2 linked regions of the Oryctolagus cuniculus genome follow. The protein of the gene in region 1 interacts with the protein of each later gene in a biochemical or structural test. Links are inferred from orthologs where the notes say so. Each region holds a gene or a part of one and is shown in the gene's direction. Other genes may lie near its edges.

Region 1 (4,077 bases):
CCGGCCCCCGGCCCCCGGCCCCCGGCCCCCCGGCCATGAACTGTGCAGCACGGGGCGGGGGGGCTTCAACCAGGCTCAGGTCCCGTGGGCCTTTGCAGTGACCTTGCTTTAACCGGCCCCTGTTATCTGGAGCTATGCTGAACCCATTTCGGTAATGGCGAGGCGGATCCCCAAGACCATGGCCCCTGGGGATTCCGTACCTGCCTCTGTCGGTACCCGGTGCCCAGTTCAGCCGCCCGACTTGGAAGAAAAGTGTTCTTGGGGGCGTCGCCTGGCACCCCCTAATCCCATCCCTGTCCCCTGGGAAGAAGGGCTTGTTTGAATTTTCAGGGAAAGTCACCGGATGCCAGAGGCCTCCTGGGGGGCGGGGGGGGGGGTGGCGAGCCTGGGAGACCCCAGCCAGCATCTGGAGAGAGCAAGCCCTGGGTGGGGTCCCTGAGCAGGATGCCTGTGCAGGCGCTGTAGTTTAGAGACCCTGGTGTGGGTTATCTGTGTGCAGGTTGAGCCCCAGGTCCCGGGTGTCTGCAGCTGGCTTCTCCCTGCAGGGCACCCCCACCCCCTTGCAGGCTGCATCCTGCACGGGTGTGGACGTGAGCGGACAGACTATATAACTGGAGTCAGCCGGGGGCGGTCTTGGACTTGCCCTGACTGGCGGAGCCTGGGGAGAGGGTGGGGGTGGGGGTGGGCGGAAGGTCCAGACCCCTGCTGAGTCTCCTCGGCTGCCCTCCACCAAGGGGGCCTCTTTCTGAGTGATGTCGATCTCCCGCATTGAGACCCCTGGCCTGGCTCTGGGGTTTGCAGCTTCGGGCGGGTCACTGTTTAGTCTGGGGTCTTGCTTCCTACCCATAGCTCAGTCTGGGAGGAAACCAGAGATAAAGACCGGATGAGACACTATCTTCCCCGCCGCAGGAGCTAGGCAGACTCCACAGGCCGAGCCCGGGCCCCAGGTCCGTCTGCAGATGGGGGAAACCGAGGCAGAGTGACGGCTGTCACTTGGAGCCCCACACAGCCAGACAGAGGGAACTGAGCGGGTCGCGCCCCCGACCCCCGGTTTAGAGACCCCAGCGTTGGAACCCATCCTGGTGGGGTCTTCCACTCGGCCCCCTTGCTCGCTGCGGCTGGCCACAGGCTCTGTGCCCCTGCGGCCGGCGGAGACCCGGCGGGGGCTCCACGGTTCCGCCGGAGGGGCGTGGCGTGGGGGCGGAGCCGGCTACCCAGGGGGGCGGGACCTCCCGCCAGGCCCCGCCCCCGCCGCGCCCGCCCTGCGGAGTCCGAGTCGCTGCCCGGGGAAACCCAGTTTCCGAGGAACTTTGCGCCGGGCCGCCAGCGACTTGGCCGGCGCGGGACTCGAACGCGCGGAGCGGGGGCGGCGGCGGCGGCGGCGGGCCCGGCACCATGGACGAGCCGCCCTTCAGCGAGGCGGCCTTGGAGCAGGCGCTGGCCGAGCCGTGCGAGCTGGACGCGGCGCTGCTGACGGACATCGAAGGTGCGCCGGGGCGGTGGGTGCGGAGGGTGGGGGACTCGCAGGAGGCGCCCCGGCCTTTGTCTCCCCGGCCGGCGTGGGGGACACGCGGGGGCTTCCCGGGGCTGCGGGCCGCCTGGGCGGGGTCGCGCCGGGGGTCCCGGGGCAGCTCGGCGCTGGCGGGGCGGGGAGGACACGTGCGCCTGGACGCGTCCCGGGCCCTGCGCCGCGGGGGCCGGCCCCGTTCCCCAGCCCCGTTGGCGGCCGCGGCTGGAGCTTGGGACCCGGGCGTCGCCGAGGCCCCGCCCCCGCCGTGACGTCCGCGCGGGGTTACTCACGGTCATTTCCCTCCGGCCTGAGAGTTCAGCCGGGCGCAGGCGCCTCTGCGCGTGCGCACGGTGCGGCCTCTTTGCCAGCCGCCGCCGCCGCCGCCGGAGAGGGTCTGGGTTCTGCGCACGCGTCGTAAAGCCACCACCGAAGGCCAGGCCCCCACCATCCAAGCCCACCCCACTCCACCCCACCACCACGTCGTAGACGCGGAGGGTTCGCAGACAGCTCAGACTTGAGGGCCAGCCCCGGGGCCAGCGGGGCGAGGGTAGAGGCCCCGGGCAGTGCCCAGGCGGGGCGCCCTGTCCCTAAGGAGCAGCTCCGGGCTGCAGGTGCTTCCACGTGGCAGGCCCGGCGAACCCCAAGTCCCAGGAAGTTCCCCCATGCACCTGCCGTGGGAAGACGCGAAGGCTAAGGGCAAAGGAGCAACCTGCATGGACGCTGGCACCCTGGTGGCCGCTGCCCTGCGCAGCCTATGGCTGCGACTTACAGGGATCCCCGTGGGCTCGGAGGGTCAGAGTTGAAGCTGGACCCTTTGCCATCCTGCTGGAGCCCCCTCGCCCGCCCACCGAGTCTCAGTCCCCCCTTTCCTCCCCCCGTAAGTGCCCCCTTCACGAGGGAGCTGGGACAGTTGACTCAGATCTGTGCCTGGCCTTCTCCCTGACTCCCGGGGCTTGGGCAGCCACGTGGGGGGCGTCGTTGGGGGGTCAGACGGGGCTTGAGTGCTCATCGGCGACAGCGAGGGAGGCTGGAGCCCTGCAGGACCAGGCGGGGGCGGTGGGCAGTGGCTGAGGTCTGCCCACTATGGGGGAGGGTCTCTCTCTCTGTCTTTACTCACCCTTTCTGTTCTTTTTCCTGGTTATGCAACACATTGGGTTTCTTTTTTTTCCATTGTAGAAAAAGTAGGAAGTGTTGATTAACAAAAGAAAGAAAATGTTTCTTAAATCTACCCACCAGAAATAAGCCCTGAAGCTTAATCCACTTTTTTTTTTTTTTTTAAGATGGATTTATTTCTTTGAAAGGCAAAGAGTTAGAGTGAGTTAGAGTTAGAGTCAGAGAGAGAGTTAGAGTTAGAGAGGTCTTCCATCTGCTGGTTCTGACTACAACAGCCAAGTGGGAAAGTCCATCCAGGTCTCCCACGTGGGTGCAGGGGCCCAAGCACTTGGGCCATCTTCCGCTGCTTTCCCAGGCCACAGCAGGGAGCTGGATCAGAAGTGGAGCAGCCGGGACTCCAACCAAGTGCTTATCTCGGATGCTGGTGCCACAGGTGGTGGCTTAACCTACCCAGTTGTAATACTGACCCTTTCATCCACTTTTTCAAAAACAGGGACCAGAGAGTTGTGGCATAGCCCATAAAGCCACCGCCTACAATACTGGCATCCCATGGGGGTGCCGGTTTGAGTCCTGGCTGCTCCACTTCCAATCCAGGCCCCTGTTAATGCACCTGGGAAAGCAGTAGAAGATGGCCCAAGTCCTTGGGCCCCTGTACCCACATGGGAGACCCAGAAGAAGCTCCTGGCTTCAGGCTGACCCAGCCCCAACTGTTAAAAGGATGAAAGATTCTCTCTCTGTCTCTCTCTCTCTCTTTATAACTCTGCCTTTCCAATGAGAGAAATAAATCTTTAACAAAACACCCACAAGTGTATTAAGGTACCAACTTTACACACTGGGAAATAGATACATTCTAAGCGAGCTATGCAACAGTTTCCAGTAGCGCCCTATGCAAGTTTCCAGTATGTGTACCAAGTAGCGGGCCCATCATCAGCTGCCCACTTGGACTCCTTGTAACTGTATGGTTTCTGCCCTTTCCTCCCCCACCCCCCAGGCTGTCTGCATTTTTTTTTTTTTTGGTGAATTACAGTAGCATCCATCCGGTTCCCAACAATGAGGATCTGCTTTGTTCCATGTCGCAGCCAGCGGCCAGCCGCTTCCCCCGCACTTCCACCTGCTAAAGACACCACAGTGGTTCTGTTCTCCTACCCTGTGCCGCAGTGGGCCCCCTCCCACCCCCGAGGCCAGCCTGTGCTGGGATCCTCACTTTGGTTCCTAAGGTCTGGGCTCTGGGAGGGGAGATTTGCTGGGGAGAGGATTTCTACAGAAGCCTCTATGGGGGCTGCCACCAGACTTGGCCCTGGGCAGGTTGGACACGGTCTGGAAGAGCCAGTGGGAAAGCCAGTTCCCCTGAGAGAAGTGAGGGTGGAGAGGCGCCCCAGGGACGAGCTGGGCTGGCTGGGGAGGGGGCAGCGCAGGGACATGACATGCGTGTTCCCTCGTGGCTGGGAGCTTGG
Region 2 (3,500 bases), on another chromosome or scaffold:
GTTCTATTAAAGTAAAATAAGCCTATTTGTAATTCGATGAAACTTGAAAATGTAATATACAAGCCTCTTTACATTATATTTTCCCCCCTTTCAAAGCTAATTCAGAGGCTTTCTCTGCCTTAAAAGCTTTTCTCTTAAAAGCTTTGTGTGTGTGTTGGTGATAGGCCAAGATAACTTTTTTAAAATGTAACACACACTTATATTTGTGACTTTTTCACCCCCTTTTTATCAGAGTGGTAACACTTACATGCCAAGAACTCTACTATGCACATGACACATTAAATCATTTAATCCTCACCAGAACCTTCTGGAAAAGTACTGTTATTACCCTCATTCTACAGAAAGACATTGAGGTAACCACGAGACAGGAGCAGAACCTGGGATTTTAAAAGGTACTGCTCACCTGCTTACAAGCTAGTTTGATGAAATGTAATGGCTATTATATGTAACAGTTGTTAAGTATTAGTGGAGAGTTTCTTTTTTGGTTGGAGTCTGATCCTTATTAGATTTTTGCATGGCATATCTGTTGTGATTTTACCAGCCTACTTCCCCTCCCCTTTCTCTCATTTTCACCCCATTTTTAGGTTCCATACCCCACGAAGTGCCTCAGATATTAATTAATAGGGAACCTTTGCCTCATCTACATTTTGATGTAGAGCTTCTTGGAGACTGTGATGTCATAATTAATGAACTGTGTCACAGGCTAGGTGGTGAATATGCCAAACTTTGCTGCAACCCTATAAAGCTTTCAGAAATTACTGAAAAACCTCCACGAACACAAAAAGAGTTGGTTCATTTGTCAGAGTTGCCACCAACACCTCTACATATTTCAGAAGATTCAAGTTCACCAGAAAGAACTTCACCACCAAATTCTTCAATGATTGTTAAGCTTATAGACCAAGCAACTAAGAGTAATGTGGACGATTCAGATGTCTCTCAATCAAAAGTTTGTATGGAAGAAAAATCACAGGAAGTACAGACTAATCCTAGGAATACTGAAAGTGTCACTGAACAGGTGGAAAATCCGGATATGAAGAGTGTTGGTTCCAATACTGGGGAGAAAAATGAACGAACCTCAGTTGCTGACACAGTGAGAAAGTGCTGGCCCAGCAGAATTGCAAAGGAACAGATTAGTAAGCGGCTCGATGGTAAGAGAGGCTGTTGAACTATTTTGTAAAGATGATTATGACAACTGCAAGAAGCTAGCAACTTGGCAGGCTAATATTGATTAGGGTATCTTTATGTAGCAACTAACTGTGTTCAGGGATGAAAAGTTAACAATTTTAGTTAGAAAAAGGTTGCTTGTATTATCTTATCATAGGGAAAAACTCATTTACTTGAAGTTAAAGCCCTGTATGGAGGGGTTGAGAAGGAACCTCCGTTTGTTATCATAGGTGAACTCTTTGTCAATGGGTTTACGAAGTTTAATATGTATAGGTCTTATAGACAATAAATTTTGATGCAGCAGATTGGTGGTGGGGCCTAATTTTCTGTCGGTGTCCAGACTACAGTGTGTGTGTGTGAAGACATTCACAAAATAAAAGTTACTGCAAATAATGAATTTGAAATAAGTACTTCAGTAAAATGAATTGGGTAGCTAATGTAGGCGGGGCTGGATACTTAATTTTAAACAAGTAGCAAACTAAGATTTGCACCCAGGACTACTAAGTTTACAGCTTGTTTTTAACAAAACACTATTAATAGTAATAGTCTGTAGTAGTGACACTTGTAAAAAAGGCAAAGCTGAAACCTACTCTTAATTCTAGGCTACCAAATAGTCTTAGAAGTTTGATTACTAACATTTCCCTTTTACTACCATATTTCAGGTAATCAGTATCTGTTTTTACCACCAAATCGTTATATTTTCCATGGCGCTGAGGTATATTCAGACTCTGAAGATGATGTCTTATCCTCTAGTTCTTGTGGAAGTAACAGTGATAGTGGCACATGCCAGAGTCCAAGTTTAGAAGAACCACTGGAGGATGAAAGTGAGATTGAAGAATTCTACAATGGCTTGGAAGATGATGTTGATGTTCCAGAGAGACCTGGAGGAACTGGATTTGGGGCTGATGGAGGTCTTCAAGAGGCAGTTAATGAAGCTGTATCTGTGAAACAGGAAGCAACAGATGTCAACTATCCATCAAACAAATCATAATGTTGCAGCTGTCCAGGTACAGGAATTGTTCCACCAGCATTAGGAACTTTAGCATGTCAAAGTGAATGTTTACTTGTGAACTCAATAGAGAAGGAAACCAGAAAGGTGTAATATTTATAGACTGGTAAAATAGGTGGTTTTTCATGGATAATTTTTTAACTTTATTATTTCTGTACACGCAACACTAACTTTTTGTTTTGAAAGAAAGGTACTAAGTATCTTTAACCAAATGTTGGTCAAGACTTTTTCACTTTCTTTCAAGGGTTCGTTTGTATGATACATCCATATGTATATATAATTTTTTGCCTAGTGAGTTTCAACATTTTAAATTCAAAAAGCCATTGGAATGTTAAATTAATGTAAAGGGAACAGCTTATCTAGACCAAAGAATGGTATTTTCACACTTTTCTTTATTACATTGAATGATTTGAAGTCCTCAAAATCTGTTCTGCTATACTTTTGATTTTTTAGCACAATTATCTATTTTTAAACACTGGCATTTTCCAAAACTTGTGGCAGCTAACTTTTTAAAAATCTGAAATGACATGCAACTTGAGTAGAATGAAGTCAACAATATGCAGGAAGGCACTCGGTTTATCTTTATGTAAAAGAAGGACTTGGTGCTAAGCATTTCAGGAATATTGTATCTGTTCAAATGAAGATGGCTTTTGTACTTCCTGAGGACATGTAATAATGTCTATATTGGCTCATAAAACTAACCTGAAAAACAAATGCTTTGGAAATGTTTCAGTTGCTTTAGAAACAATAGTGCCTGCCTGGACCCCCTTAGTTTTGAAATATTTGCCATTGTTTAAATACCTATCACTGTGGTAGAGCTTGCATCAATCCTGTTCTGTAAGTATTAAACTGGCAAGATGTGAATATGCAAAGCTTTTCTGAATCTATAGTTATGGTACTTCTACAGGGCAGAGTGTAATATTTTGGACTGCTGTTTTTCCATTAATGAGGAGAGCAACAGGCCTCTGATTACAGTTCCAAAGTAATAAGATGTTAATTTTAACTCAGCCAGAAAGTACATGTCTCCTTTGGGAGGATTTGGGGTAATAAATACCAAACTGCTAGCCTAGTATTATGGAAGGTGAACATGAAATAACTTGTAATAGCAGAACAGTTAATGAATGAAACTAGTTCTTACAATGTATCTTTATTTAAAAGCTTAGCCTGCCTTAAGACTTAGAGATCAACTTTCTAAGCTGCAGAAGCTTCTAGCCTTTCAAAAAAGTTCATACTTTATTATAAAATTGCACAGCACATTTATTTTCCAGACCTTTTTTGAACATTATGCCAATTATAAAGTATAAAGCATTTCTGTGTTGGCTTAGTA

What was found. The genes of interacting proteins can lie anywhere in the genome.
Region 2: of the proteins of SREBF1 (region 1) and SIRT1, one has a biochemical effect on the other in vitro, tested with the Homo sapiens proteins (2 studies listed by BioGRID, with this or other methods). The link is inferred for Oryctolagus cuniculus from reciprocal best matches to the Homo sapiens genes SREBF1 and SIRT1.

What each region holds. Positions count from the first base shown.
Region 1 is NC_091448.1:62,549,911-62,553,987, reverse strand, and holds the start of SREBF1 (sterol regulatory element-binding protein 1), read left to right. Parts: upstream 1-1,277; 5' UTR 1,278-1,395; coding exon 1,396-1,503; intron 1,504-4,077.
Region 2 is NC_091446.1:59,858,212-59,861,711, forward strand, and holds part of SIRT1 (NAD-dependent protein deacetylase sirtuin-1), read left to right. Parts: intron 1-584; coding exon 585-1,148; intron 1,149-1,826; coding exon 1,827-2,155; 3' UTR 2,156-2,171; exon of another isoform or gene 2,172-3,500. UniProt on the Homo sapiens protein: NAD-dependent protein deacetylase that links transcriptional regulation directly to intracellular energetics and participates in the coordination of several separated cellular functions such as cell cycle, response to DNA damage, metabolism, apoptosis and autophagy.